Linked DNA regions of Bombyx mori. The main gene of each other region encodes a partner of the protein of the gene in region 2 in a complex. Links are inferred from orthologs where the notes say so. Each region holds a gene or a part of one and is shown on either strand. Other genes may lie near its edges.

Evidence for each region.
Region 1: eukaryotic translation initiation factor 3 subunit F (region 2) and eukaryotic translation initiation factor 3 subunit A share a complex: the UniProt entries of both Drosophila melanogaster proteins name them as parts of the eukaryotic translation initiation factor 3 (eIF-3) complex. The link is inferred for Bombyx mori from reciprocal best matches to the Drosophila melanogaster genes eIF3f1 and eIF3a.
Region 3: eukaryotic translation initiation factor 3 subunit F (region 2) and eukaryotic translation initiation factor 3 subunit J share a complex: the UniProt entries of both Drosophila melanogaster proteins name them as parts of the eukaryotic translation initiation factor 3 (eIF-3) complex. The link is inferred for Bombyx mori from reciprocal best matches to the Drosophila melanogaster genes eIF3f1 and eIF3j.

The regions. Positions count from the first base shown.
Region 1 is NC_085122.1:3,665,985-3,676,482, forward strand, and holds part of eukaryotic translation initiation factor 3 subunit A, read right to left. Parts: intron 9,371-10,498; coding exon 9,166-9,370; intron 8,360-9,165; coding exon 8,260-8,359; intron 7,747-8,259; coding exon 7,517-7,746; intron 6,135-7,516; coding exon 5,942-6,134; intron 5,213-5,941; coding exon 5,108-5,212; intron 4,032-5,107; coding exon 3,902-4,031; intron 2,979-3,901; coding exon 2,776-2,978; intron 2,206-2,775; coding exon 2,054-2,205; intron 1,734-2,053; coding exon 1,522-1,733; intron 859-1,521; coding exon 654-858; intron 1-653. UniProt on the Drosophila melanogaster protein: RNA-binding component of the eukaryotic translation initiation factor 3 (eIF-3) complex, which is involved in protein synthesis of a specialized repertoire of mRNAs and, together with other initiation factors, stimulates binding of mRNA and methionyl-tRNAi to the 40S ribosome.
Region 2 is NC_085124.1:486,705-497,663, reverse strand, and holds eukaryotic translation initiation factor 3 subunit F, read left to right. Parts: upstream 1-3,999; 5' UTR 4,000-4,054; coding exon 4,055-4,163; intron 4,164-4,430; coding exon 4,431-4,577; intron 4,578-5,499; coding exon 5,500-5,723; intron 5,724-6,974; coding exon 6,975-7,253; intron 7,254-8,697; coding exon 8,698-8,772; 3' UTR 8,773-8,872; downstream 8,873-10,959. Other genes in the region: DNA repair protein XRCC1, read left to right, coding at 138-333, 694-953, 1,317-1,416, 1,479-1,626, 1,703-1,875, 2,147-2,352, 2,467-2,592, 2,908-3,045; bolA-like 3, read right to left, coding at 9,789-9,923. UniProt on the Drosophila melanogaster protein: Component of the eukaryotic translation initiation factor 3 (eIF-3) complex, which is involved in protein synthesis of a specialized repertoire of mRNAs and, together with other initiation factors, stimulates binding of mRNA and methionyl-tRNAi to the 40S ribosome.
Region 3 is NC_085125.1:12,541,373-12,551,870, reverse strand, and holds the end of eukaryotic translation initiation factor 3 subunit J, read right to left. Parts: intron 10,417-10,498; coding exon 10,275-10,416; intron 6,571-10,274; coding exon 6,406-6,570; intron 5,339-6,405; coding exon 5,199-5,338; intron 3,734-5,198; coding exon 3,671-3,733; 3' UTR 3,310-3,670; downstream 1-3,309. UniProt on the Drosophila melanogaster protein: Component of the eukaryotic translation initiation factor 3 (eIF-3) complex, which is involved in protein synthesis of a specialized repertoire of mRNAs and, together with other initiation factors, stimulates binding of mRNA and methionyl-tRNAi to the 40S ribosome.

The sequences.
Region 1 (10,498 bases), on a different chromosome or scaffold from region 2:
AAGTCACAATTGCTTTATTTTTACTGAACTGCAAGCTTCTGTTCTTTCTTTCATTTGACAATCAAAAGATTATTGAAAAACATAATATGATGGCTGGTAATATTACTAGGATAACACAGTATATAGAATTTACTGTTACTTCACAATGTTCATTTCAGCAAGTTCAAGTTTGGCCATAAAATTGATAGATGAAGTGGTGAATATAGTATGTGGAATGGATATCTATTATAAAGAAACTGTAACGAAAATTGTAACTTTGTGGGAAACAATTGTAATTTTGTGGAGGATCAGGATCCTGTTTCAATAAAGTTTTGTTAGACAGAAAAGTATACATGAAGCGTTTAAGACGAGGGTTCGAGAGCTGTTTCTCAGAGAGTTAGCAGTCATCTGATTGATGATATTTATTTATATACATTTTTATATGTATATATTTATGTATATGTATTTATTTAAGTACGAGTATTTTTATCTATAAATATTATGTATGTATATACACATATGTTTAAGTAATATCACTATCACACTATACCTACCAAGTTTCATCTCTGCACCCCTTTAAGGTAGATTGTCAGAGAATGTCTATGGCATAAAGGTGGACTTTATACTGTCTAGTATATAAAGTTATATAAAAAAAGTTATGAGATAAAACATACTTGTCTTCCCTAGCCCAATCATCCCTGGGTGGTGGACGATCGTCCCTGGGCGGTGGTCTTTCGTCCCTGGGCGGTGGTCTTTCGTCCCTGGGAGGCGGACGCTCGTCCCTAAGAGACGGCCGCTCATCCCTGGGGGGTGGACGATCTTCGCGGCGTCGTTCCGGACTGCGAGCTCGCTCGTCACGTACGGGTTCACGGACACGACCTAAAAATAAAAAAATCATTTAATCCATGAGACTGCTTCCATATGATCATAATATAACGGTAGCACGTTAGCCAGCGACTTGGCTCTGCCACTGGCATTGCTTATGTCCATGAGCGACAATAATCACTAACTATCAGATGGGCCATATTCTCGTCTACCTACAAGGGCCATAAAAAAGCATAATATAATATTCGTGTCCAATAAAAGTAACTGATGACATTATTGTATCTTTAATTACTTACAGTGATTGCAGAGCAAAAACAAAAATATTAGTTTTTTTTTTCTTTTCAGGAAATGGGACTCCTGTATTTCGTTATATCAAAAAAAGACACCAGTTTTTTGTCTGATTTCAATTGTTAAATATATTTTTTAAGTCCGAATAACAGACCAGTTGCCAGTTACAAGAATTAAGTGTCTTTTAGAACAATGACCATAATCTCCACTCTATTCTACATTGTACTTTATCATTATCAAAATAATCAGTTTTTACAATAAGTGTGTTTTGCTTGTCTTTTTTTTAATTGCCCTTGTTGTCAGACGAGCATACGGCCCACCTGATGGTGAGTGGTTACCGTCGCCCATGGACTTCAGCAACGCCAGGGGCAGAGCCAAGCCGCTGCCTATGCTGCTTGTGCATGAATACAATACATTAATTTAACGTACTGGTTCTCCATTGATCAGAGGACTTCTTTTCCCCAGCATCAGGTGCTTCCTTGCCCCTCCAGGCGTCGTCTCGTTCGGTAGGGGCAGGTTGTCCTCGTCTCCAGCTGGAGGAGGTGGCGGGCGGGGGGACGGCGGCGCGTTGTCCCTCCAGTTTCCGTTGTATCTCGGCTTCCTTGGCGCGGGCCTTGGCCTCGGCGCGTGCCAACATCTCTCTATAGAATAAAACAATCATTACAATTTCATTACTGGTGGTAGGACTTCATGAGTCCGCACGGGTAGGTACCACCATCCCGCCTATTTCTGCCGTGAAGCAGTAATGCGTTTCGGTTTGAAGAATGGGGGCAGCCGTTGTAACTATACTGAGACCTTAGAACTTATATCCCAAGGTGGGTGGCGCCTTTGTAGATGTCTATAGGCTCCAGTAACCATTTAACACCAGGTGGGCTGTGAGCTCGTCCAGCCATCTAAGTAATAAAAAAAAACCTAATTTTTAGCTAGAAACTAATTGTACAAATTTATGTAAATAACAAACTTGTGTTCTTTCTCTTTTTTCTCTCTCAACGCTTCCATTTCTTCTTGCTGTTTCCTCTCTCGTTCTTCCCTTTCTCTCTTTTCTTCCTCTTCCTTGATGCGTCGAGCTTCCTCAGCCGCACGTTCCTCAGCGCGACGCTTCTCTGTTATCCACTGCAATAATAAATTTAGTTTTCTTTTTAATATTCTTGTTACATTACAAGTTTAAATTATTTAGCTAACGGAACGTTGAAAAGATTGAATACTAGTACATTCGTAACTTTGGATATCATTCATATATGAGGCAGTCAGCGCAATAGTTTGTGCTTACGTATTGCAATTTATTTAAAATATAATAAATTTTGATGCAAAATCTGCCTATCCCTAGTTTCATCCATAGATAACAGATTCCTTTGTAAACATCATTTTAGTGCGTATTTTTTGCCTATTATATTATTAGTATTGTAAAGGATAATTCGAACCTCATTATCTTCATACTAACTATGGTAAGCTTAGGCCACTTTTGCATTGACGGCTTCATATCAGAAATTTATTAGTTTTGCTTTAATGGTAACATATTAAATTTTTATGTGCATGTCTAGTCTTCATTATCGGGAACAATGGTGTTGTTGGAACATATAAGAGTTGTACTCATTTAAAAACCAACTGTCTGACAATCTAATGCAACGTCTATTGAAATTTTCCAAAGATCGGCTGTAGGTTATAATCATATCAATCTTTTACCTCATGTCTTCTCTTCTCGATTCGCTGAGCGCGTCTCTCAGCTAATCTCTTTTCCTTCTCGGCTTGAAGTTTCTCGTTGAAAGCGGCTACCTTTTGAGCGTAGGCGGCCCCACGTTCCGAGCGAAGTCGCGCCATGAATTCGTCGCGGTGGACCGCCATGCGGGACATGCGCTCCGACGTGGCCACGTCTAAGGCGCGAGCCTCTGAGGCAAGGAAATTGTATAATTAGTGGCAAGACAATATGTCACATCCAGTGAGACGTGCAGCGACGTGTAGTCACAATTACATTACTTTTACATTTTACAATTACATATTACATAGTCGCAGCTTTTCCTTCGCCTATTCGAAGCACTGGATTGCAAAACTCAATTCTGCTGGATTCAATTTGTTTTTAAATACTATAGTAGAACTATTTTGTCGGCGCAGTTTGGGTTATAAGTCATAGCCCGGCTAGGGTGGTGACCACATGGCGCGGGCCCTACGCTATTATCGATAAAAACAAATGAGTCATCGAAGGCAGGTACACGGCGGCGGGGTGGTATACGAAAGGTGGTGAGACATTGTTATGTTATGAGTCATTTGCACCGACCTGCAAATTATAGTACATAACATGTCGAAGAGAAATGTGTTTTTGTGCATTCACTCTCTGAATTTCTTTAGTGACATAATGGTTACTTCTTTGTTTTGTACCAAAACGGCAGAATTTATTCAAAACAATATTTTGCCTGTCGGCAAAAATATACCAGCACAAGCATGTGTTGTTATCAACAATGTTTTAAAATTTTTCACTGAAATGAAAATAGAACCCGAAAAGTTACAAAGTGTTAATTTCTGCCGTTCTCGTTAACTTGCTGCGGCGATATGTAGTGTAAGTTTATTATTATTATTATCAAGATTAGTGATATTTTTTTTCATTTTTATCACTAAAATGACAAAATTAATACACTATCGATAAAGCTTATCGACAACAATAATGCGCATCACTATGCTCGTCCATAAGGCCCGTGAGTGGAAGAGACAGCGAAATACTCGCTTCACCGCTCCGATTATTTATGTCCCAAATTGCACGGACAAAATAATTCAACTAGAGTTTGTTTAGTGTTAGTGTTTCGCATTTTTTGCTTACCTATGAGTTGTTCGATGCGTTCTTTTTCCTGTTGCTCCCAGAATGCCTTGTCTTGAACCTGTTTCTCTTCCAGGCTCTTCTGCAGAAGTGGTATTTCTTCCAATCGCTTGGCACGCTCAAAGTAATCCACCTGTTTGTTATTTATATTGATGAAAATTCGTTTATGAAATAAAGTGTTACTAGTTTCGGTTAGGAAGACACAGATATATTACATATTAATGTTAAGATTTTAACTTCGTGTTGGTAGCGTTTACACTTTTACTTAGCATTTCATGTCATACCAGTTGGTGGTGAATTTCAAAAAGGTTGCAATATTTTAACACTGAACCAATTGTTGATGTAAAATAAGTAAGACAGGATGTGTCAGCCATTTTGTGGTAAGTGCGTGTCAATTATTATTTACTAGCGACCCGCCCTCGCTTCGCTTCGGAAACATTAAATTTTATTATTGATATAGGCGAAGCCCGCCATGTTACGTGCGGTAGGACAATAACTGCGGGTGAGGCCGCGGGGCGAAGCTAGTCTAAAAAAAAAAAGTGTGTGTGTCCGCTCCGACGCACGACTGGAGTTTACTGGATATAAAAAATTAAACGAAACAATACGAGAAATAGTTCTATATTACGAAAACACGATACACTACAGATTATTAACAAATTAACGAGACACAAAACAAACGACTAACAAATATATGAAAATACAATAATGAGAGAAACGCGCGATCAGTACGAGGCTTTGTGGCGGACTGCCGGCGCAGCAGCCCGGCGTCACCTGCGATAACGCGGCCGCGCGTTGGCTCCTGATTGGCGCGCGCACGCATCACGCAATCAGGAGCCAATCAGGCGCATAACGCATTTCGTGTGACATGCTAGTACGATTTTGGTCCCCATAATTTTCATACCCCGGGCCTATATATGTAAATCGATTCTAAAGGAGTAAACTCCAAAAAGTTGCCCAAGTTACTCTTTATATCATCAGCTACCTATTAGTGAAAGTCTCATCAAAATCGGTTCAGCCGTTCCAGAGATTAGCCGGAACAAACAACAGACAGACAGACAAAGATTGTAAAAAATGTTATTTTGGTGTATGTACCGTATATATATTCATATGCATGTAGTAAAAAGCGGTTATTTCAATACTACAAACAGACACTCTAATTTTATTTATATGTATAGATTGAATTTCTGGATATTTTAATGTTGACAGTACCTTTTTCTCCTGTGACTTCAGTCTAGCCTGAAGCTCGCGACGTTCCTTCATCAGTTCTTCAGCTTCCCGCTGAGCAATAGCTTCAGCATCCATTTTCTTAAGATCCTGCATTCAATAGTGAAATAATGTATTTTATATTAAGTTTTTTTTTTATTTAGGTTTGTTGACCTTGTTGAATACTCTTATGTTGTGTTAAAGGAAATGGACAAAACGAATGTCCAATATTAGACTAAATAGGATTAGCTGGTTGTAAGAATACTCAGGATGCGAAAAATCATTTTTATTAGAACTGCGACAAAAACGAGTCTGGCAAGCATAGGAAATCAATTATGTTTCTATTTTTCTAAATTCTAACACAAACTATGAAACTTAATTAAACATTCATGTAACATTGTTGGGTATCAAAATGTGTAAGTTAACCCTAGACGAATCACTAATACATTAATCACATGCGACATCATGTGTCGTGTAGTTAGCGTTTGGCTTGACGTGAAAAATGGATACCGGACTTTTTATAATTTCAGAAAAATAGTTTTTGAATTACATATAATCAATCAAAAAAAAATAATTTTTTTTATTCAACATAAATGAAAGTACATACTTGTTGAACGTCAAAAAGAACTACCGCCAATTCACAAAAACTAGCCTGCGTCCTGAGAAGAACTGGCAAGAAAATCAGCGGGCATGTTTTTTTTTTTTAATATTAGATTTTTTTAATTAAATTAATTAGAAAGAGATCTATTGTAATTAAGATTAAGATATAATTATCGATTATTTCCTTTAATTATCTTATGTTCTTTAATGCAGCAAATGAGAACAGTAAACAAGACGAACCTCCTCATTGAGTTTTCCGAGCATCTTTTGTCCGTGCGCGGTCTGAGAGATGTGCGCCATGCGTTCCTTGAGGTGTCGCTCCCTCATGGCGGCCAGCTCCGACGCGTGGCGCTTCTTCTCGCGCTCCTCACGCTCCTGCTCCAAGCGGCGGGCCTCGGCGATGGCGGCCGCGCGGAGCTGCTCCTCTTGACGCCTGATACGTCAAATCATTTCGTTAGTTGTTCCGGTTATTATTATTTTTTTATTGCTTATGCGGGTGGACGAGCCCATAGACATCTACGACGTAAATGCGCCACTCACTTTGAGATATAAGTTCTAAGGTCTCAAGTATAGTTACAACGGCTGCCCCACCCTTCAAGCCGAAACGCATTACTGCTTCACGACAGAAATAGGCGGGGTGGTGGTGGTACCTACCCGCGCGGACTCACAAGAGGTCCTACTTACCACCTTTGCTTAGTCCTATTTCTAATATTAATTAACGATCGTCATAGCTCTGAAAGCTTTTAGTGGACCTGTTTTATTTTTCTAACCTATCTATAACACGGGTCAACACCAATTTTGACTTTGATGGCAAAACTTAAAATTTCGATATTTTAGATCGTAATTAGACGAAAAAATAATACATGGCATGAAACAGTTTGCTTTTGAACTTTAATAAATTGACCACATATGAAACAAAATGCATCAGCATCGTATTTACACTTTCGTGACATTTTAAGTTTTTCTGGGCTTGTACAAAACACCTGACCGTTGTTTATGACTCGAGTGCCATCTAGTGGCACTGTGTGAACGTAAACACCCCACTTTGATAGCGCGTTTTTTTTTTAAAGTATTAAAATTAATAAAAAATTTATAAAAAAGTTGAAAAATGAGTATTATTACTATAACTATCACAAAAGCAAACTTTTGTTTTCGTTTTTGTGAATAATTAACTGGAAAAATCTAGTATAAACGTTTGGACAAAGAACGAAATTTTTTTTGTAGTTGTGTAATTTAGCTAAATTAATTCAATAAAACACATGAAATATAATAGCGGAATTGAAAGCCGATACATCAAATGAAAAAAAATGTGCAAGCATACATTAACACAGGCTATACACGTGTCGTATATTCTGTCGCGTCTAGCTACAATACGATCTACCTCTGAGGCCTACCATCATATAACCATTTAGGGTTACAAATGGGATTTATTTCAGAGGCACAAAAATTACAATGACTTCTTAAGAATTGAATATACATAACAGATTTAAGCAGGAGGCAGTCCTTTAGTATCATACTAGTGTATAGTGAATTAGGGCTGTGTAGTCGCTCTGTCCTAGTACGGACGTGGTCTGGTTGTAGGACAGATTGTAGTGAGTGTGTGCGGGTAGGTACCACAACCCAGCCTATTTCTGTCTTGAAGCAGTATTGCGTTTTGGTTTGAAGCCTTTGTAACTATATTGAGACCTTAAAACTTATATCTCAAAGTGGGTGGCGCGTTTACGTTGTAGATGTCTATGGGCTCCAGTAACCACTTAACACCAGGTGGGCTGTGAGCTCGTCCACCCATCTAAGCAAAAAAATTATAATGTTTACCTGAGTTCCTCCTCCTCGCGCACGGTGTTGAGTCGCTCGATGTACTCCTTCCGTTCTTCGATGATCTTGTGGCGCTGCAGCACGCGGTGGTGCTCGGCCTGCTTGTTCTCGTGGTAGTACTGCACCATGGCGGCGCGGGCGCGCTCCCGCTCGGCGCCGCGCCGCTGCGGGTACAGCGCGCCCACCACGCGGGACAGCACCTCCGCCGCGCGGACCAGCTGCTCGCGGACCTGATTATAGACACGTCAAGGGATTTTTAATTTTTTAAGTACGCGTGCATATATTGGAGAATTCGTATCTATTTGTTTTAATGTATTTTATCATCGAAATGTATAGTAGGGAAAATAATTGGGAGAAAAAATTTTATTTGGTAAAAAGATAATTTTACAAGGCTTTTTCATGATTGTTGAGAATCGTTCTTGTGGAAAACACTAAATATATTAAAAAATTTAAAATATTTTATCACATTTGAAATATTAAATTTACCATTTTAGTAGTCATACATAACTAAAATAGTAAAATAGGATTCATAGAAATATTATACTGATTTGAATAAACCACATCAGATGATTAATAACATAGTTAATGTATGTTTTAAAGTCTTAAAATCTTAGTAAAAACTATATCATCAGTACGTCATTTAACTCGTCCAAACTAATAGGTACACCATGTCACAGCCCATCGAAATAAGTTCAATTGTAAATGTTATAACACTACAAGTCCATTATTCATAATGCGCGTACCTGTTCCGCCGGGGTGGCTTGCAGGATGGCCCCGCCGCAGGCTTCGTCCGCGGCCGAGCACCACTCGCCGCCGCCCGCTTCTACGCCAAAGTGCACGCACCTGATTGTAAACAGAAATAGTAATTAAGAATTAAACTGAACAATTACCCTGCCAACAGTACATTTTGAGTCCCCTTTAGCCGACAACCTAATAGGGGTGTATGGCTCTAATAAATAATAAAAAAGTCCCTTTAGCAAATGAGATGTTATAGCACTCAGAGAGAATTGTGGATCTGGATTAGATTTGGATGAAACGTGGCAAAAACATTGAATTAAAATGGGGAGGTTTTTCCAAACTCTTTTAAATAGGTACCACTTATTTATCTAAGTTTAAGTGAAAAATGAAATGGAAGTAGTTATTACTATAATGAAAGCTGACAGAAAAGCTCTTTCATATCTACTTATGGTACGCGAGATAGACGTATCGTAAATTTATTATAATAGCTTTCGTTACAATAAATAAAAATTACTTAAATTTATTTGAAAAAAAAAAGGTTGTCTATGTTTAGGGATACTGATAAAATTTCAAAATTATTCTTAATTTATGGGCAATAAATTAGATGAATGATGAATAGCACAGTTTTAGTAATAGTCACAGCAAAATTTGCGTAATTATTGGTGGTAGGACCTCTTCTGAGTTCGCACGGATAGTTACCACCATTGTTTTAAAGATAGGGCAGCTGTTGTAACTATACTGAGACCTTAGAACTCATATCTCAAGGTGGGTGGCGGCATTTATGTTGTAGATGTCTGTGGGCTCCAGTAACCACTTAACACCAGGTAGACTGTGAGATCGTCCACCCATCTATGCAATAACAATAAAAAACTGTGTCTATGCTTTAGTTTTATACGAAGTTCGCAACGTACTTGTTGGCGTGATCGATGCGTATCTGCATGTCGTTGTGGCGCACGCAGTCGACGAGCAAGCGCTCCAGATGGAACAGGTCGTCGGTGGCCGCCAGCTCCAGCAGCCGGGAGAACTGCACGCACGCGTAGCACTGGGCCACCTGACGGATCAGCCTCACCAGGGCCACGTCCGTCAAGGCATTGGTGTACTGAGCGAGCGATGAATCTGTTAAATCAATATTCAAATAAAATAATTGTATAGGTACACAATGATTCGGTTATTTGGTATACAGTCAGGTATTTATTACTCGAGTTAAAGTGGGTCACATTAATAAGACTCTGGCTATTTTTAATGTGTATCCCTAGCCTTTAGAGTATTATACATATCCATAATTATATATTTGTTTGTGTGAATCATAATTAAAATGTTTTTATGAGAACAGAAACAAAACATTTTAATGAAATATTATATTACACATGATAACCATTTGTAATAAGTCTTTAATATTTGATTTACATTTAAATTGAATTTAATTTCATCTTTATTCACGTCATGGGATATGCTCCAACAGATGGATTTTCATTAGGGATTATTATTAATATTGTGCTTTTGCACAGAAATATTTTTAATTTGTAAATGAATGTATATTCACGAAGGATATTGTCGAGTTGAACATTGAAACCAACAACTTTTGGCACTTTAGAGAATGTATAGTTGTTTCAAAAGATGGGTCAAATCTACAATTAGCAATAGTTACAAACTATGGGTTATGGCTGTTACGACGTCTCACTCGTAAATTATAACATGTGCAAGCATACATTAACACAGGCTATACATGTGTCGTATATTCTGTCGCGTCAAGCTTACAATATGATCTACCTCTGAGGCCTACCATCGCATAACCATTAAGGGTTACAAATGGGATTTATTTCAGAGGCACAATAATCCTAAAATCTTTGATTACTAATTTATCTATATTTTGTTTGAAGAAGTCTCCATTAACTTTTCCAATGAAGTGAATAGTTTCAAATGTGACTTCCACTTTTTGAGTACACACAGTTTACATAAAATTAATATTAAGCTTGTCTTTGTTATAAAAAAATCCAAATGTTATTTAAAGGTGTCCAATTTTGATTTATGTAGCTATAGAAAATAAAAAGTTTTTATCGCACACACATTTTATTTGCTTGTTCTTATACTTTTATTTTATTTTTTATTGCTTATACTTTTAATAACAAGACCTGTTTCACCAATCATTTAATATTTAATATTTTTCCTTTAATAGAGGTAAGGTACTTTAATACACCTGTATATATGTATGTATGGTCTTAGTTCAGGACTAACCACATAGCA
Region 2 (10,959 bases):
TACATTAGGATATAAAAATAGTTTTGCTGTGTCTTCGATTCGCGAGACCTGGCAGAGATGCTATTGATGATATTCATAAGAGTACATATTCATTTTTATAAAACTGTTCATGGCTTCAAACTAATATAACCTTTCAGTTCGGCCTCTCGTTCTTGCACATCGACGAGCCCGGGGACGGACCCCCGCCCGCGCCGCCGCGCCCCCTCGCCCTGGACACCTTCTCGTCGGACGAGGAAGAGTTCAAACCTGGGGAATTATTCGCTAAATACTACACCCAGAAGGATAGTCCGCTGAAACTGGGGGACGATAAAACTAGCAGCCCGGCGAGTACAGGTAAATAGGTTTTAAACTGAGCGGTGTTGTCAATAAGGTCGATAATTCAACAGCTGCCAATTCTGAACCACAATTTTCATGTTCTTGGATATAATGTTTATAAATGAATACCTAATATTAGTCAGTTAGGAAACGAAGTTCAAACACGGTTCAGTAGAACGGCTTGTCGCCCCGGGCTGCCCCGGCCGGCGCCGGCACCCGGGGGCCGCGGCACGTCGGTGTTTGCCCCGGGGTTGCTCTATAATTTTATTTATTTACAATATAAATTTTATTTAACTTAATATTATTTCCGTTTAAACTTTAGACGAGTGCTTAACTGCGGGTACGTCTCGCAGCTTTCATACAGAATACAATTTTCAGAATCCCAAATACACAAGGCGACGTCCCGCGCGCTCCGCAACGTTCCCGGGGACTCCCCCGCCGCCTCCCCCGGCCTCAGCGCGGCGGCCACACTCCGACAGAGCAAACAGAACAGGCCGGCCGGGCGGCGCCGCTCCGACAGCGACGGGGACGCTCGGATGCACGATGAAGAGGACACCAGACACCATGCAAAAATAGACCAAACCGTTAATAGACATAAGGGTGACAAGATGACCGATGACAATAGCGCGGGGGACCCGGTGAGCTAGATTTGTCCACCAGATGCAGGAGCGGCGGAAGCGGCGCGGAACGCCTGTCGCGTTGTTGCCGGGAATATATATTTGGTTGAAGGACGGGCCAACCCGCGGTGAACAACCCGTTGACTTCACAACGCGAATGTTGCCTGAGACGTGAGGTCGAAATGTCAATTGTATTGTATAATAGCCTTCTCGTTTATAAACTGGAATACGGATATAGGCAAGACGGCGGTACCCAGTGTCCGTAAGTCGCCTTTCGACGACCCGGCTCACGGCTTGCGGTGACGAACAGACAAATAAGGCTTATCCTATTATACTGTATTAGTCATCAGGGGTGATACTGATGTCCATATTGTGTGATCACAGAAAGAAGTCCAGAAAAATATAGACAATATATCATCGAGAGCAAAGCGGGTGAAGCGAGACGACAGCGCCGGGACCGCGCCCGCCCCCCGGGGACAGCTCGGTGAGTCGCCCGGGCCGCTACACTCCACACCTGACCGCTGGTGTCATTAGTATATGTTACAGTCGCGTGTGTCGCAGCGGACGTGCTGCGCGGCGTGCGCTTCGTGCTGAGCGGCTACCAGAACCCGCTCCGCCAAGAGTTGCGCCGCGAGGGGGTCGCGCTGGGGGCGCGCTGGGAGCCCGTCTGGGGGCCCGCCTGCACGCATCTCATGTACGTGCCCTCCGACCTCCCGACATGTTGTAATGTCCGTTGTGCCACGTGGAGTACAGCGTCGTGTCGCCGGCAGATGCGCGTTCCCCAACACGCCGAAGCTGCAGGAGGTGCGGCGCGTGGCGGGCGGCGCCGTGCCCGCCGTGCGCGCGGACTGGCTGCGAGCGTGCCGCCGCGCGCGCCGCCGCGTGCCCTGGCGCCCCTACGCCACGGAGCCGCACCAGCGCACCGCACCACCACACGCTGCAGGTTCACGCACCACGCCGACAGTTCGATTGCTCATTCATTAATAAGAACAGACGGACGCCGCTACCAATATTTTTAAACCACAATACAAAATTAATTATTATTATTATTTTTTATTTCCTTTGTAGGCAGACCAGCATACGGCCCACCTGATGGTGAGTGGTTACCGTCGCCCGTGGACTTCAGCAATGCCAGGGGCAGAGCCAAGCTGCTGCCTACAAATTAGGCAAAAATGTAATTAAAACGTAATTTTGACCAATTACTTGTCGTCCAGAAACTGACGAGTCAGCGGACACCGACGAGGAAGTGCGGGACCGCGGCCGGGCGCCGAGCCCCCCCGCCGGCGCGACAGGGTCGAGGGGGGGCAGCGGCGAGCCCGACGTGCAGTTCGTGTGCGACGAACGAGTCAAGGCGTCGCTCGCGGTCGAGTCGGACTCGGACGAGACCGACGCTGGGGCCGACAGCGGCGCCGAGCACGCGGCACGTACACTCTATTACTAACGGATTAGTTAGTAATAGAGCTCGTCCACACATCTAAGCAATAAAAAAAAAAAAAAAATTACTTTTTTTTTAAATATTAAGTATTGTTTCCAGATAGACGACAGCAAGTCGCTGCCGGCGTTCTTTGAGGGAGTAACGTTCGCGGTGGAGGCCGGGGACACACAACTGCGGGCGCGCTGCTGGCGCTACCTGCGGGCCTACGGGGGGCGCGTGCTGCAGGTCGCTCGTGCTGCAGGCACAACAATATGACATGCCCTTCTTCAAACGAGGCTTGTAGAGAGTACTTAACGATAGGCAGCGGCTTGGCTCTGCTCCTGGCATTGCTGAAGTCCATGGATGACGGGAACCACTCACCATCAGATGGGCCGTATACTCGTCTGCCTACAAGAGCAATAAATTTATATTCTTATATTTATATTTATATAAATTTATATTAATTCAAAATAGTTAAAAAATTTCATGATTGTCACATTTCCTCTATGATTGGATAAATATACATATTTTCCTAATTTTAAACAAATGTACATTTTTCAGAAGTCTCAGCTGGATGAGGACAGCCGCGTAGATTACGTGGTGTGCGACGACGGCGCCGCGCCGCGAATCAAGGGCCGCGCCGTCACTGCAGCCTGGCTGTGGAAATGTCATCAACAACGAAAACTGTGTCCAATATAACGACAGCTCAACTTGTGAATTCCTTTCATTAAATAACTGTCAGCTAACAACGCCTTTTCTTTCACAAATCTCAGTAAATGACCACCATTTTACTAAGATCCCATATCATCTCATTTCATTTAATTTCATTCTAGTTGATTAGGGTCAATTCCCACTGAAAGAGCAGCGGCCGGCAGCGTCTTTTTTAGGCAAAATATTACAAACTATTTTGAATCTTATCTACGTGATTAAAAAGTTCATAGTCATTTGAAGGCAAAGGAGGGGTAGCGTGACGTCGCGAGGCTGCACGAGCCTTCTACCGACTAGTCAAAAGAGGCGCCGCGCGGCTGATCGCGGCGCAGCTAGCTGACGTGCGGCCGACCGCGGTGCAGCTAACAGACTCGCGGCTGCGCGCGAGCGACCATTTCATACCCGCCCGCCCTGCCGCTTACGCATTTCGCGTCATTTTATTAGAGGGTATCAAGTTAGAACGTGCTACGCTCCGTGAGAAAAAAATGTACCCAAAATTTTCTTTTCCTTTTTCTTTCCGTTTTGTTTGTTACTTCTTGTTCTTCTTCTACAGCCAGTGCTATGATACATAAATCCAAATCCACCATATTTATTGCCACACAACTTTCCTTGAGTGAAGTAGATCGCACACTAGTTTTCAAAGCTACTACGCGGAGGTTCATTGCGGCGCCTCGGGATGCCGCGCTGCCTCTCGCGGCGCCGCACTGCCCCGCGCGGCGCCACACTGCCCCTTGCGGCGCCGCGCTCAATCACTTGCTCTTACGGCCGCTGCGCGCCGCTGCTCTTTCAGTGGGAATTGACCCTAATGTCTCAAATTAATCATCTTCATTTTATTTCATTTCACTCCATATTATCATTTTTCATAAAAATAAGACATGACTTAAAGGTCTTAATTACCAGTTCATAAAATCCCTAAAAAAATTAAAATTAGCAGAGATAATACCTACAATATTCTCTTGTACTCTGTGTTTCTGGGTTTGTAGTTTTGGTCGAATTAAAAATGGCTCTCAATATTAGTGTGAAGGTCCATCCTGTTGTTTTATTTCAAATTGTGGACGCATACGAACGTCGAAATGCAGATTCTCACAGAGTTATCGGCACCTTATTGGGTTCGTATTGATTTATAAATCATGCAATAACTATAAATTCAAAGGACATTAGTTGTCAACGTCATGTCGTGTACCAAATTTTATGAGTTGTTATTTAAAAGAAAAATCCCTAAATGCTAAATATGTACGTCAATTATCATTACACATTTCACTTTGGCTTTTCCACATCAACGTTATAGTTAATTTGATAAATTCCTTGGTCACATAAGCCAGGTGCAATACAAATGTGTAAAGGCGTTGTAAGGTTATGTTGTGCTGTTGCTGCAGGCACGAGCGACAAAGGAGTGGTGGAAGTAACCAACTGCTTCTGCGTGCCACACAAAGAACATGCCGATCAAGTCGAAGCGGAACTTAATTACGCGATGGATGTTTACGAGCTGAACAGAAGAGTCAATTCCTCTGAAAGTATTGTTGGTGAGCTATACCTGCATTATACTCAAATTCACATATGTAACAATACTCACAGACGCATACACACACAATTTACACTAATTATTATTATTATTATTATTATTATTAATGCTTTATTTCAGTTATTATTTTTTTTTAAAACCATAACATTTTGTTAGTAATAATTACTTATAATCTATGTTAGTAACTTAAAAATCTAACACATAACTATCATTATATTATACATTTTATACCATTATATATTATTATTTTTCTCCTTCCAAGTGCCTACTGCAAAGGCTATTGATCAGCAGTCCCTCGATCTTGCTCGATATGATTCTCAAAAGACTGTTGTCACTGTCACGAACTCGACGCAATAACGATGCACTTCTCTTCCGCATTATTGCAAAGAAGTCATCTGTGTGAGATGTCGCAAACATTGTGGATGCACTACAAAAGCGCGGCAGTGACAACATCATCCTAAACGCATTATTATATTGGACACGTAGGGCATTGTAAGCTCTCCGCGTGTATGTGGTCCACAGACTACTGGCGTAAAAATTCTGGCAATAAGCTTTAAAAATTGTAAGTTTGACATAGCTATCGCAACCAGTAAATCTGCGGGCCAGCATGTTGCATCTTACTATCAACTAATTGCCACATCATCATCATTTTCCTGCCCTTCTCCGAGTCACCTGGAGTCGGCGCAACATATTTTCTCCGTTCATACTCCTCTATCATAATACCATTTCTTCGCTCATTCCACTCTTACACATATTGTCCTTCATGCAATCCATCCATTTCTTCTTAGGTCTACCTCTTCCACTATAGCCTTCCACATTTATAGTTAACACTCTTGACAATTGCCAATTAATAAAATTGGATCTTTTACTTCCCTTAGCATACCTTATACATTTAAATTCAAACTCATTTGTATTATTTTTAGGTTGGTGGGCGACTGGCAATGAAGTAACCAACCACTCCTCTGTTATACACGAGTATTATTCCCGTGAATGCCGTGAGCCTGTCCATGTTACTCTGGACACTTCGCTGGCTGGAGGTCGAATGGGTTTACGTGCATATGTTTGTGTACCATTGGGAGTGCCAAATGGAAAGCAAGGTTGCATGTTCACTCCTGTAGATGTCACTCTCACATGCTATGAACCTGAGGTAATTATTGAAGATTTTGTACTGTATTCATTGTCAATATTTGCTTTATTAAGCAAAAATATGGTGAAAACTGCTGAAAGGCCATTAAACTCTGACTGTTACAGGTTTAAATTTGTGTTCAAAAGGCTTCAAAATCATGAGCTGTTTTAGACTCAAATTTGTTAATATTTCAATATCCATGAACTCCAAAACTGCATTGTGTGGAATCACATATTGTTATATTGTTAAATAAAAAAAGGGTGCGTGTACTTATGTGCGCGCGTAAGAAGTTATACTTAATTTTTATTAATTTTTTTTTTTTAATAATCATAAATTAATAATAAATATTTAATGTTAATAATTTAATAATGTTTAGTATGAATTACAGTCAAACCTGGATAAGCGAGAGTTAAAGGGAGCACAATCTCATTCTCGCTTATAGAGGTTTCTCACTAACCCGAGTTTCTCCCTAATGAACCCTCTGAATGTCATTTCGCGATTTTCCAGATTCAAACGCATTCACTATTTTAAGTTTATCACTTAATGACAGTACTTTAATTTTCCGTTTTGACATGATGCAGAACAGATTTTTCCCTCGCGATTGATTAACGATAAACTGAGTAAGTCTGACAAACAGGACGGTACACCGGGACACGTGTCCATTCGAAAAGAATGCGATAAATTAACAACGTTATTTAGTTCCACGAAATAGAATAGGTTCTATATTGACGAGAAAACAATACAAAAACAATGTTAAAAAGTTCCATGAAATTTAAGAATGGGTCATAAAATAGCAGATGTTAAATTTGTAATTTGTTTTGTCATTTGTTCCTCCTAAATAATATTATTATAAATAAATAAAGCTCGACTGTCGCTTATAGAGGTATAGACAAGTAGCAGTCTCACTTACGGAAGTCCATAAGGGAAAAAACTACTCTCGCTTACAGAGGTTTCTGTCTCTCGCTAATAGAGGTCTAAGAAGCTAAAAATGACGGGTCCTGGCTATTACTCTCATTTATAGAGTTTTCTCACTTATCCAGTTCTCACTTACCCAAGTTTGACTGTATATTAAAATCCCTTATTAATCTGGTAATTCCTTATTAGCAGGAAAGGCCTGAGCATATTAAAACGCATTACTGCTTCACGGCAGAAATAGGCGGGGCAGTGGTACCTACCCGTGCGGACTCAAAAGAGGTCCTACCACCAGTAAAAAACCTATCTAGAGTTTTAATGTTTTGCGGCATAGAGTAAACGTTTGCTTTGATTGATTAGATTGTAGGTCTACAAGTGTGCCAGAAGACTGTGTCTGGTGGAGGTCGCGGGTCGAGCGGCGTGGCCGCGGGCTCGGACCTGGCGCAGGTGATGTCGGCGGCGAGCTCGCTGGAGTCGCTGCTGGAGCAGGCGCTGCAGTACGCGGACGGAGCGGCCGCCGGAGCACCGGCCGACGCGGAGGCGGGCCGTGCCCTATTGCAGCTCGCACATTCCGCACCTGACCTTGCCAAGGACACCTTCTCAGATGCCTTCGCCTCCAGCGTCAAAGATCTGCTCATGGTAAGTTCACACTCAACCACTCTACCGTGCTGTGGGCTTAACTAGAACATAATATATGAGTAAGTATAAAGGATGGGACGGTTTCTGGACATCTTTCATGAACACTGACATCCAGGCGAGACTATGAGACAATTTGTTAGCTGATCTACTTGTGTTGCTAATGGCAATTACTTACACAGGGACTATACAAGTGCCTATGATTATTCATCCAAAACTTGTGCTGAAATATAGTTTTGTCAATTCTGCTGTCCCTCATCAACAGTACTAATGTCAGCCAGTTCTTGAACATTACCTTTATATAGTGCTGGGTTTGATTTACCATTTGCTTTTAAGCATAAGATATCATTAAACTCACAATGATGCATGCAGACTGCATCATAACAGTGAACTTTCAAATAGTATCAAGATATAAAATGTCACCATAGATTTCTTACCAACAAAAACTACGTTTTCAGTAACTCTTAGCATAATGCTGTGTACATTTTGAGTCGAACTACACATATTTGAATGCGTGGTTGGCCAATAATGAATCACCTTAAAGCTGGATGTTGTGCACTTTCCTGGGCATAGCATATGCAAATATTTCCCATTCATTATTATTATTGCCTTCCATAGTGACAATAATTATTAAGAGTCCCTTTTCCAATGAATTACATTTATTACACTTGAAGTGTACAGCGATAACAACAGAGATCTCCGCTCCGTTCGACTGCTCGGACCGGAATGTTTTGTGCGATTTTTTTTTTCCTACCTAAGCCGATAGTCTTGAGAGGCTATTTCAGCGTAACCATAACTAGTAGGTGAGCTCACGCGGCTCAAACCTGACGTCGTTGCTAACGCGAACCCTAGCAATAGCCGTGATTCGCAGAATCTACCACCGGATCGGAAACGCGACCCACTGAGAAGATCCGGCGAGCTGTGTCTTAGGGTTAATTTACTCGTCGAGCCCTTCGTCGCAAGCGACGGATTCGACGAGAACGATGACCGGTGCTTGAGGTACCTCAAAGCACCGTTAGTGGATCGGGAGGAACGCTGTGCGACAATAGTCAGTCGTCGTATTTATAATAGACTAGCGACCCGCCCTCGCTTCGCTTCGGAAACATTAAAACACACAGGAAACCAAAAAAATAAAAAAAAAAAAAAGGAGCCTATGTTCATCAGGGACAATGTCGGCTTCTAATGGAAAAAGAATTTTTCAAATCGGTCAAGTAGTTTCGGAGCCTATTCGAAACAAACAAACAAACAAATCTTTCCTCTTTATAATATTAGTATAGAAAAGTGGGGATAGATTAGTCATGAATTCTCTTGAATACCGTCGCAGTTGACATATTATGTAACATTTAGGTAACAGTTAACTTTATATTGAAATTGAAATGGAACCACAAATGACTTGACAATGATTACTCTGATGACGAATCACTAACACAATTTTCGTTTGTTACAGGTGGTGACGTTAGCACAGTTGATCAAGACCCAACTCCAACTTAATGAGAAGCTAACTTTATTGACCTCCCAGTGAATACTACAATATATAAGGGAAGACCTAACGTCTAGCTTCGATTCTGTATCAGGCTGTAAACATCTCATAAATAAATATAACCAATAGGTTGTAAATCTACTGTGTGCTGTTTTATTGATACAGACTTATACTAAACTACTCTTTGAACTCAAGGTAACGTTATTGTGCTTACAATAAATAATATGATCAGTTGATTAAGATTCTTTAGTGTATTCATTAGAGCTGCTAGTACTTGTGAGGGGGGATTAGAGTATTGCTGCTGCTATTAAAAAAAGGGAATACCACAATAAAAATACAAAACAAAAAGTAGATGGTAGTTAAGAGTTCAGTTTAGATTTAATTAAGCTCGTCATTAACGAGCTTAATGCTTAATGCTACACATACTCAAGTCGTACTGAGCCTGGAGCGGGCGGCGGCTTCCGGGTGCCTCTCACATTAATGATCGTCGTTACTGTCGAAATTACAGATTTTACACGGTTGAAACTGCAAAGTGCGCCTGGGATGTATAGGGAACGAAAATAAGATATAAAACAAAAAATATTTTGATCAAATAGAATATATCTACAATTTCAAATTTTAACAAATATAATTCATATCATACGATACTCAACAAAATTTCTTATTGCTATCACTACAACATATTAACAATTTATGATGTCAACAATTATGTACATAAAAGGTCAATAAAAATACAAAAGAAGAGAGGGAATTAGCTTGTGTGATGCAGTTCCAAGATACTTGGAGCATGTGAATGATGAGAACCATTAAATTTGTGATGTCTCTACAAGTGCACATGCTTTTATTCGTTTCATCTGAAATCATAACCTTAGTACATATTTGCAAATGATGGATGAGAAATTGGAAAAATTCTGCTCCTAATGGTTGACTTTCACTTCAAAGCGAATCTTCAGTATAAGTATACTTGTCTAATGGCAATAACTGTATTTTTATGTATTTTTTCCAGAAATTCGTCATTTCAGAAAATTTAGATGCTATTTCCCTCTTCAGCAATATTCTCATTGCGTGGCGGCCGGCGTCGTGTGAATACGGATGCCATGCATTTCTGCTATTTCATTCTTCAGAGAATCTGTTACTAATCTGTGTTGTTTCACTCTGTTCAACCCTACGAATTCTTTAGCTTCCACACTTATCTGTGAAATAATAATAATATTTTGTAGTGAATTAATATATAGAGGGGAAAATAAAAATAAGACTCCATTTCTTGTTTCACAGATTGTAGTTAGGTACTTTTTATTGCATAAACGAGTGAATTAGGTGGCAGTCTGACGTCAAGTGATCAACAGAGCCCATAGATATTTTAAAAGCGGTCATCGCCTGCACGATGAGACGTCCGGTGCATTTGTATCGAGCTATGTGACTGTCCAGGTGTTCGAATCCCGCAGGCAGGTATATACTAATTTTTCTGATGAATTAAGTACTTCACAGCCTTTGTAGCGAAAACTGAGATTTAGATCTCAAGTTAGGTGGTGGCAATTACGTTGTTCAAGTATATGAGCTCCGGTGACCACTTAACACCAGGTGGCTGCATGAGGCGGTCCACACATCTCAGCAAAAAATAATAAATTCATGATAAAATAATGAATAGTTCAAAAAATAACAGAGGACTTTTATTAAATTCATATATTTAATTTTCTGATTGCCATTATCATTCCATTTGATATGTGCTTAACACTTTATTTACCGGCTGAGACTGCCACTAAGTAAAGACTAGCTTAGGTGTGCGTGCATTTTCTTATAATTCAACAAGGATATGGAGACATTAGTATAGCTTATCCTACTGGACAAAAATAGTCAATAGCTAAAATGAATAGTCAAATTATATATGGTCACTGCCAATCTGGTTATAGTCACTTTGTTAAAGTGTTAATAATTGATTTAACTTTACTACTTTATTTTAGTAATACAATAGATTACTTTAGTAATATAAATCAGATGGAGAGGTGTTTTTAAAAAGTACAGTACTCTCCACCTGCTTTTCATAATCCAATCCATCTTAACAAGAATATTTGACAAAAATTGGCAAAAATAAGAGCCAACCCAATAAATTACAATCATAAAAATGACAGGTTTTTCAAATGTAATGTCATTATCATTATTTTATTATAACAGTATTTATGACCAAACTGTATATTATTATGTAATTCCTTAGAAATATACTCAGTGGCA
Region 3 (10,498 bases), on a different chromosome or scaffold from region 2:
TACAGTATGATATAATATGTCATTAATGATATTAGAATGCTGCTGGTTTTTTGGTTACGATTACGATAGCGGAAACCTTTATCGTGATCGCTAGATGGTGTACTTAGTAAATTAGGTAGGATGCGTTCGGAAATATTATTAATTAGTACAGTAGGAATAGGCGCAGTCATGGATGTAATGGCGTAGTATATGCCTTGAAAATACCTTCTGATAAGATAATGGATTTGTGAAAAAAGTGTAATGTGCCCGACAAAAATGTTTTGAGAATAAATGTGTGAGAGATTTTGTCGGTCCTTCGGGGCCCCCTGAGAATGGGGGCGCTGGGCACGGGCCCCGTATGCCCTTATGGTAAAGACGGTATTGCATGCAGGCTTCTAATAGGTATCCCCTTTGTTGTTAATTTCAGAAGATATGCCGCGAAAATGGTCTGTATTCGTTAGATTAAATTGGGTTTGTAAGTTTATTGCACTAGACTTTTTTATATAGCTTAGTTGGAGGGACGAGTTCACAGCCCACCTATTGTTAAATGGTTACCGGAGCCAAGAGACATCTACAATGTAAATACCGCCACCTACCTTGAGATATGAGTTCTAAGGTCTCAGTTTTCACAGTACAACGGCTACCCCACCCGAAATTCAAACCGAATAATATATAAGGTTAATTCTTGAAAGTTAAACACGTTCTTAAATTATTACACATATTTGGCTTACATCATAAAGTTGCGAAACAAGATACATTCTGAATCCAGTTTTCGATCGGAAATGCGAACCTATTCGTTACTGATACAGGATGTTATGTATATATATATGCTATAATAAACTAAATTAATGTCGTTTATTGTCCCACCCACTGCCACTGTCTATCCTTTTTTTTTATTGCCTTTGTAGGCAGACCAGCGTACGGCCCACCTGATGGTAAGTGGTTACCGTCGCCCATGGACTTCAGCAATGCCAAGAGCAGAGCCAAGCCGCTGCCTACTGCTACAATATAATAATATATAAGACAAGCAAAGTTAGTTTCGTGGTAAGATCTCTTGTGAGTCCGCACGGGTAGGTACCACCACGCTGCTTATTTCTGCCGTAAAGCAATTATTTATTTATTTTTATTTATTACACTTCATGTAAAATTTACATTAGCGGACTTAATGCCTAAGGCATTCTCTACCAGTCAACCAAAGGTAGTGCAGAGTAAATAGTGGTAGGTGCAATGAAATTTATATTAGGTAACGAATACATACAAAAAAGTATATCTACATATATACACACATACATACATATAATAGTTTATACAGTATTAAAAGGAATATATTAATAAATTTCCTTAACAAATAACTTCATCAAGTTCATGACGATTCCGCTAACTTTTCCAACAGCATTCGCCGAACCCTTAACTTGAACGTGCAGCGGTTAGTAATAGTCCTGATCTCGAGAGGAAGCGCATTCCATAGCAGAACAGATTGCACGACGAAAGAGTTACGAACATAACTAGAACTATGTGTGGGACAACGAATTAATAGGCTATTGAGAGAACGTAGGGCCCGCTCATGGCTGGAGTGAAGATATTGAAAATAGGAAGTTAGATAGGAAGGAGGTTCGGGAGACATAAGTAAGGAATGAAGAGTCGTCAGTGCACGTAAATTACGACGCTGGCGAATCGGTAGAAGTTTGAGCTGAGCACGATAGGAAGATATATGATCATATTTACGAAGATTAAAAATAAATCGAATGCAGTTATTAAGAAGACGATCAAGTTTATTAAGAAGGTCTGCATTCAGGTCAAAATAACACACATCACCATAATCAATTATAGGGAAGATCAAGGCTTGTACTAGCATAGTCTTGGTCGCTGATGGTAAGAAATTCTTGAGGCGATACAGAGCACGAAGAATTCCAGAGGTTCTTTGTCCAACGTAAGATAATTATGCGTTTCGGTTTAAAGGGTGAGGTAGCCGTTGTAACTATACTGAGACTTATAGAACGTATATCTCAAGGTGGGTGGCGCATTTACGTTGTAGATGTCTATGGGTTCCAGTAATCACTTAACACCAGGTGAGCTGTGAGCTCGTCCACCCATCTAAGCAATAAAAAAAAAATATTTTGTATTTGTGCTATTTCCCAGTGCAACCTTACGACAGATAAGCAATGAGGGTTCCAATGGTAGACACTCACTCCATCTAAGATTTACAACATACAATTGAGGCTTCTTCCACACTCATCAGGACGTGGCGTCAGATTTTAGAATGTGCAAGGTCACAATACACGAATATCGAAAGACTTTTACTGCTTACATAGGTGGACGAGCTCACGGCCCACCTGGTGTTAAGTGGTTACAGAGCCAAGACATCAGTAACGTAATTGACGGCACCTATCTTGAGACAAGCGTTCGAAGTCTGTTTTTATAGCACGACCCCATCCTGCAAACCGAAACGCATTACTACCTCACGGCACAGACTGGGTGGTGGTACCTATCCGTGCGTGCTCACAATACCAGTAATTAGGTACGCAAATTATAATTTCTGCCGGTTTAATTTTTATTACACGCTGTTTATTCCTTCACCGCGTGAGTCATTCGCGAACTCTTCTTAAGTACGTACTTCATTAGAAAAATTGGTACCCGAGTGCGGGATTTGAACACCCGCATCGAACGATAAGAATGCACCAGGCGTCTTATCCTTTAGGCCACGATGACTTTAAAAGGCAATGTGTTCGAAGTTTACTTATGAGTCTCTCTATTCCATCGCAACTTTTCAATGTCTGTCCAGATTGGAATGTATAGGATACATAATTATTGATTATAACTATGAATGATCTGTCTGTAATCTGTTTTTGAATAGTCGAAATATTTTTTTGAGTCTGTGTTTATACTGGAACGTGTATATTGTGCGAGGTGATAAAGACAAAGACACATCAAGTTTGAGACCCGTTTAATGTGAGAAGATTTGACACAGACTAATCTAATCCCAACAAAAAATGCTTTTGGCAAATACCTTTAAATATGTAACACCAGTGTTTGGTCATTTGCTAACAAATATTGAACACACAAATAATACAATAAAACGTGTTGATCAAATAAAACAAAAATAATATCACAATAAAAAAATTTATTCTCTATATATAACATCGGACAAATAATCGTTCAATGAAACTGTACATTACATGTATATAGTATGTTTATATGCTATACAATGGCATATTATATATTTATCGAGTTGGATTGCTAAATTGTGTAGATTAGTTTATAGAAGTAACAACAATGGATTAAGGTAACAGCCCAATTACTTACAATTCAGTTCGATTTTATGTCACCAAAGATACTCTATGTATTACATAATCGATAATTTAAGCATTCCAACCGGATGTTTAAAACTTTATCATAGCAACACCATTACCATTACCGTTAGCGTAAACAATGCTATGATTATTTTCTTACCTGATGTCCGAATTACATAAATCGATTGTTGTTATCGACAATATCGATTTTGGCCAGTGCCAAATCGATTACCGACAATAAATAAAACGAGATTACAAGAAAACAGACTAACGCAATATCATTCTACAAAAAACATTTATATATATATATAGGAAAGTATTTTTTTTTATATAGTAAATGAAGTTGAAAATTCAATGAATTCGGACATCAAATTTGTGTATAAGTTCCTTATTGGCTTTATTTAAATGAAATCATCGTAGTCGTCATCGAAATTCCCATATGATTCGTATTGATTGAGATGAGCCTGAAACGAGAAAAGTGTAAATATATAAATACCCACGATTGAGAAAATAGTGAAAATTGAAAAAAATTGTACGAGTGAGCTCAACGAGTTTCTTTATTGAATGAGATTTAGTGCAGTATAAAGATCCGTTTAATTGGCTTTATATGCGACTAGCCGTACTCGCCCGCTTCGTTGGGCATTTAAAATTAACATTATTATTAGGGAGTCCAAAACTCATAGAAATATTAGCCTATCTATTAAGTACATGTATTTTCTACATGGATACCAAGTTTCAAGTCAATCGGATGCATAGTTCAGTAGTTATAATGGAACATTCGTAAAAACCACTGTAGATTTATATATTAGTATAGATGTACATTTGATTTCTCTACTAGTCTACTTTCGTAGCGTCAGAAATTCACCGGATCAATGAAGTTATTGTAATATTTAAACCTGTTAATCACACTGATCATCTCACAATCGAATGAACAACTATCAATATATTTTTCCAATTTAGCAATTGCAATGTCTAATAATACCAACAAAGTTCCATCCGTAAAGAATTGGAATGACTTTAAATGTTCAAGAGACGCTATAAGCATTATGTACTGTAGGTTCATGCAAGGGTAAATTTTGTTTCAATCAAATGTTTTTGTTTTTCTCTCACAAAATCAAACTGGCTAAATATACAATTATTGTTCAAGTATAGATTAGGCACGAACTTGACCTATGTCGATACTAGCGCGGTCTGATATCAGCTTATCGACAGCCTACACTTCCTTATCAATCACGTTTATCATTATCACACGAATTATCATTATTTCGTGAAATTTGCACGGTAATTTTACAAAAGTTTTCCTTGGTACAAACACAACTTTTTTTTTAATGTAAATTGTCTGCGCTAATGCAAAATTCTGCTGTTTATAAACATCAAAATATTGTAATTGGATTATTAAGATGTGAAGTCAAAGGACTGTGTGTTTTGAGTTGTTTTTGTTTTTTTTTATTCGTATTGTAGACTTTAGGGAGATTACATATCATGTGGATACTTTAACTCATGTGAACTGCCTACATAAAAACATAATTTAGTCTCAGATTTAAACTGGAATGTTGATTGTTTGTTGTAGATATTAACAGAACCGCTATGCCCATCAGAGCTGACTGTTTTGTTTTTTTTATAGCTTAGATGGGTGGACGAGCTCACAGCCCACCTGGTGTTAAGTAGTTACTGGAGCCCATAGACATCTTCAACGTAAATTCGCCACCCATCTTGAGATATAAGCCCTAAGGTCTCAAGTATAGTTACAACGGCTGCCCTACCCTTCAAACCGAAACGCATTACTGCTTCACGGCAGAAATAGGCAGGGTGGGACCTACCCGCGCGGACTCACAAGAGGTCCTATCACCAGTAATAAACGCAACCTTACAACATACCTTAATTACTGGATATTCGAGTTACTGATAACTAAATAAAAAATAAACTCACATTGTCCCCTTCAAGTTTTAACTTGGCCTTGCCCTTGCCCTTTGTGGCCTTCTTAGTTTTATCATTCTTTTCTGCCTTCTGTTTTTCAATATATAGATTATCGACAGTCAATTTTATTCGTCGGATATCCGCTGATGACACTGTAATTATAGATTCTTCGTCATACTTCAGTCATACTTTATCATATTAGTCATACTTCACCCATTTTAAATACACTTTCACATACAATTAACACATTACATAAGTATTAACTCTCTAAAAAGATCATATGACAAAATAAATTTATTTGAGGATCACAATTAGAAGAAATATTATTCTCTTATGGAGATATTGAAAGCTAGATATGTCATTAAAATCTTAAACGTTCAATGCATCATGCCAATGATTTAACATGCAGCCATGAAGCCTGATATCTCATAAAAGCATAATGGCTGCTGCACAACAGATAAAAGCAGATGACATTTCTTGTAATATGAAAAGATCTAAGCATAGTAAGAAAATTTATTTCCTAATGACTTTAGATGAGATCTTGCGTACCAGATTAATCTGGATATGTTTTTTTATTGCATAGTTGGGTGGACAAATTTACGGCTCATCTGATGTTAAATGGTTACCGGAGCCCATAGATATCTACAACGTAAATACCGCCACCCACCTTGAGACATGAGATGTAAAGGTCTCACTTTTAACAGTACGACAGCCGCCCCGCCCTTCATAGCGAAACGCAACAAAAAATCCAGAATTTATTAAATTTTATAAGACTTTTTACACTTTAGCGGCATCTAATGAAAGAAAGTTCACAATCATAATAATGGAGTTGCTCTGAATTAACTTCAATCTAGAAATGAAAGATTTCATTTATAAATGTCATATTCTACATTGGTGACCACCACTGACAATGAGAAGATATTTACTTCACGATGATGATTACGTATTAAGCAGAACCAAGCCCCATATTAAGCATGAACTATATGTTTATTTATTATTAGGTGAATGAGCTCACGGCCCACCTGGTGACAAGCAGTTACTGTGACATCACAATGTGAATGCTGCCATACTCCTTGAGACATTATGTCGAAAGTCTAAATTGTGCAGTACAACGGCTACACTACACTTCAAACTGAATGCATTACTGTTTCACAGCAAAAATCAGCAATTTGAATTACAAACACAATCAATGAAGTCATAAACAATGAATTTTACTTACTCTGGACTAAAATATTCTTGACTAGGTCATCAATGAATCCTGGAAATTCATCCTTGGCTTTATAGAAAGTGATCTTCTTTGTAAGGAGATCAGCAAACTCTGTGTACTCTTCTTTTGTAGTTGGGTGGAAATTGTCAAGTTTACCAATGTTACCTTCTGTTACACCTGTAATCATTTTCATGGGTAAGTTATCTAATCTGATAACTAGACATATTATAATAAAAACATTGTCTCATATGACTTGAGGCAGTTTTAAGACTTGCCAAGAAATTGTGCCAAGTAATCTTAATATATATTTTGGACAATCAATCATTACATTTGCTAGTAGTTTTGAACACAATAAAATACGATTATTGTATGAGAATATGAATGTTTATTATTTTACTCAAAAGCCTTATTGTTATTAATAAATAATAAAATAAAATAAAATAAAAAGCCTTTTATTTCTTGCATTTAAAAAAAAGTTACATTACAAAAATTATAAAAAAATTGTTGATAATACATTAATAATAATCGATATTAATTATGATAGAATTCTTAATAAATTGTGTATAATATTAGTCGGATCAACATAAAATATGTAAAAAAGGTTATATTAATTTAGCATGCAGGCATGCAAGAACCCCTCTTATGTGAGGGTGAAGGCCTCCTCCAGACTTTTCCATTTGTCTTTATTTTTGGCAATTGTCTTCCAGTTTTTACCAGCGATTTTTATTATATCGTTGTCCCAACGCGTTACCGGTCTTCCTTTCCTTCTAATACCTGCAGGCCCCCGCCATAGCGTGAGTCTACAGGTCCAGCGGTCGTCGCTCATCCTGGCTACATGGCCTGCCCAGCGCCACTTTAACTTTTGTGAGAAATCTAGTGCATCTATAACTTTAGTCTTTTCCCGTATGACATTATGTGGGATTTTTTGTATTTTTCTCACATTCGTAATGCTTCTCTCCATACTTCGTTGACAAGACCTGATTTTGTTCTTTACGCGTAGCGTATATTTCCACGTTTGGCAGCCGTAGGTAATAGAGGGGAGCAGGCACGTGTCCATTAGTTTCTTTTTTAAGTTAATAGGCATCGTTCCCTTTAGTATGTCTTTTAGACTCCAGAATTTTTTCCATGCGCCTGAAATCCTTCGTTCAACCTCTAATTCATTGTTTTGTTTTCCAAAGGAAATTTGTTTGCCTAAGTATATGTAGCTATCTACGTATTCTAATGGTTTTTCGTCGAGATATATGGGATGTTTTATACTGTTCGACATAATTTTTGTTTTATCTAAATTCATTTCCAAACCCACTTCATAGCTCATAGTTTTTAGCGAGTGTATCATTGATTCCATCTCTTTAGCACTTTCAGATAATAGAATAATATCGTCCGCAAATCTTAGATGGTTGATGAAATTGCCGTTAATATTCAGCCCTTTTCTTTCCCAATTTAGTTTGCTGAAGACCATCTCCAGTACCGCTATGAAAATTTTCGGAGATAGTGGGTCGCCTTGCCTCACACCTCGCCTTATGGGTATCGGTGGTCCTGTCGTCTCAAGTTTGACTCTACTTGTGCAGTTGTTATACAAACACTTTATTATTTCTATATATTTGTGTTCAACGCGTTGTGAGATTAGGGCGGTCCATATAGAAGAGTGTCGGATTGTGTCGAAGGCTTTCCGATAATCGATAAACACAACATAGAGTGTTTTCTGATATTCATTATATTTTTCGACAATTTGTTCAATTGCGTGGATATGGTCTATTGTAGAATATCCACGTCTGAAACCAGCTTGCTCTATTGGTTGGTGTTCCTCTATTCTCTTACTAATCCTCTTTTCGATTATTGATGAAAAAAGTTTGTAGAGTGTGGGTAGCAGACTGATAGGACGATAATTGCCTATATCAGTGGGATCACCCTTTTTGTAGAGTAGAATCATGTTCGACTCTGACCATTGAAAAGGTGTGGTGCCTGAATCTAATATAGAGTTAAAGAGCTGTGTCAGAGGATGTGCAAGATATTTAGAGCCTATTTTTATTGCCTCGTTAGTGATTCCATCGGGCCCTGGACATTTTTCAGCTTTAAGTTTTTTTATTTCTTCTATAACTTCTAAATCATCTATCTTTTTTATCTGTGAGACGTCTTCCGCTGGTACTTGTATGCTGGTGCTGACAGATATATTTGTAAAGTTTTGGACTTGACAATCATACAGTTTTTTGTAGAAATTGGTTGCGGTTTTCATAATATCAGTCCTATTATGTGATAGTTTATCTGACTCTTTTAGTTGTTTAATCCAAGGCTTGTAGGTAATTAGCTCCTTGTACGCCTTTTTAATGCTCCCAGTAGTATATGTTTTTCAAATGTTTTTGATCGATGGAGCATGTAGTCTCTCCTTATGTTCTTACTTATGAGTTTATATAAAGCTTTTAGTTCATTTTTCAATGCTCTTGTTTTTGGTTTGGTTACATGTAGTTGCTGTCTCCGCTCCATGAGTTTCCTAGTATAGGCTGATATTACACTAGGTTTAGTAGTGTGTTTTTGGGTGTTTTGTGCGCTACGTAGACTTTTTTCTATATTGTTATTATAATGTATTAATTATTGGAGGAATAATTATTATTGCTCAAATTTATGCAATAATAAATGCTATTGTTACACCACAACCAGTAAACATAAAAAAGCAGTGTATTTATATTTCTTATTTTCCTCTGCATGTTGTGAAAGGCAACTAAGGATTTCACCAGAGAATGGGTAGAAGTATTCTCTGTATAAAATCAGCATACTATGATTGTCAACTGACATTTAATGAAAGAAAGGCACAACATAAACCCACACAGGTAGATACCACAATCCTGCCTAATTCTGTCGTGAAGCAGTCATGCCTTTTGATTTGAACAGCTATTACACAATTCAATGAAGACTTTATGTTTCAAGGTGGGTGGTGGCATTTATGTGACTATGTTTGTAGGCTCCTGTAATCATTTAGATTTAGTTCACCCATCTACTCAAGAAAAGTCATACTTCACCCATTTTAAATACACTTTCACATACAATTAACACTTTACGTAAGTATTAACTCTCTAAAAAGATCATATGACAAAATAAATTAATTTAAGGATCATAATTAGAAGAAATATCATTCTCTTATGGAGATATTGAAAACTAGATATGTCATTAAAATCTTAAACGTTCAATGCATGATGCCAATGATTTAACATGCAGCCATGAAGCCTGATATCTCATAAAAGCATAATGGCTGCTGCACAACAGATAAAAGCAGGGTGGTAATACCTACTTATGAGGGCTCACAATAATCCACTTCACCACAATTTTTTAAATTTTTTTTTTATTGCTAGGTGTGTGGACGAGCTCACAGCCTACCTGGTGTTAAGTAGTTACTGGAGCCCATAGACATCCACAACGTAAATGCGCCACCCACCTTGAGATATAAGTTCTAAGGTATCATGTATAGTTACAACGGCTGCCCCACCCTTCAAACCGAAACGCATTACTGCTTCACGGCAGAAATAGGCAGGGTGGTGGTACCTACCCGCGCGGACTCACAAGAGGTCCTACCACCAGTAATTACGCAAATTATAATTTTGCGGGTTTCATTTTTATTACACAATGTTATTCCTTCACTGTGGAAATCAGTCGTGAACATTTGCTGAGTACGTATTTCATTAGAAAAATTGGTACCCGCCTGAGATTCGAACATCGGTACATCGCTCAACACGAATGCACCGGACATCTTATCCATTAGGCCACAACAACTTCATTATATTAGGGATTATAAACCCTCTTTTAGAATGTCTACTAATTATTGCTTAAAATGAATCTTATTTTGGAATCCACAAACTGTAATACGAGCACACCAAATCAATCAAGCATACCAAAGGTTTCCATGGCTAGTCGCAAATCTGATTCTTCCTGTAGCTTCTGCTGGCGAAGTTTCTCAGCCAACTTCTGCTCTGGAGTCATTTCTTCTGCAGTCTTCTCTGTCACGAGACGTTCAGCCTTCTCACGTTCTTGTCGCTAGTAAAATTTTATAATTTAAATATTATGGATATTATATCAATTCAAGAGCAACTATAGCCTGTCAATTCTATGAAGTTAT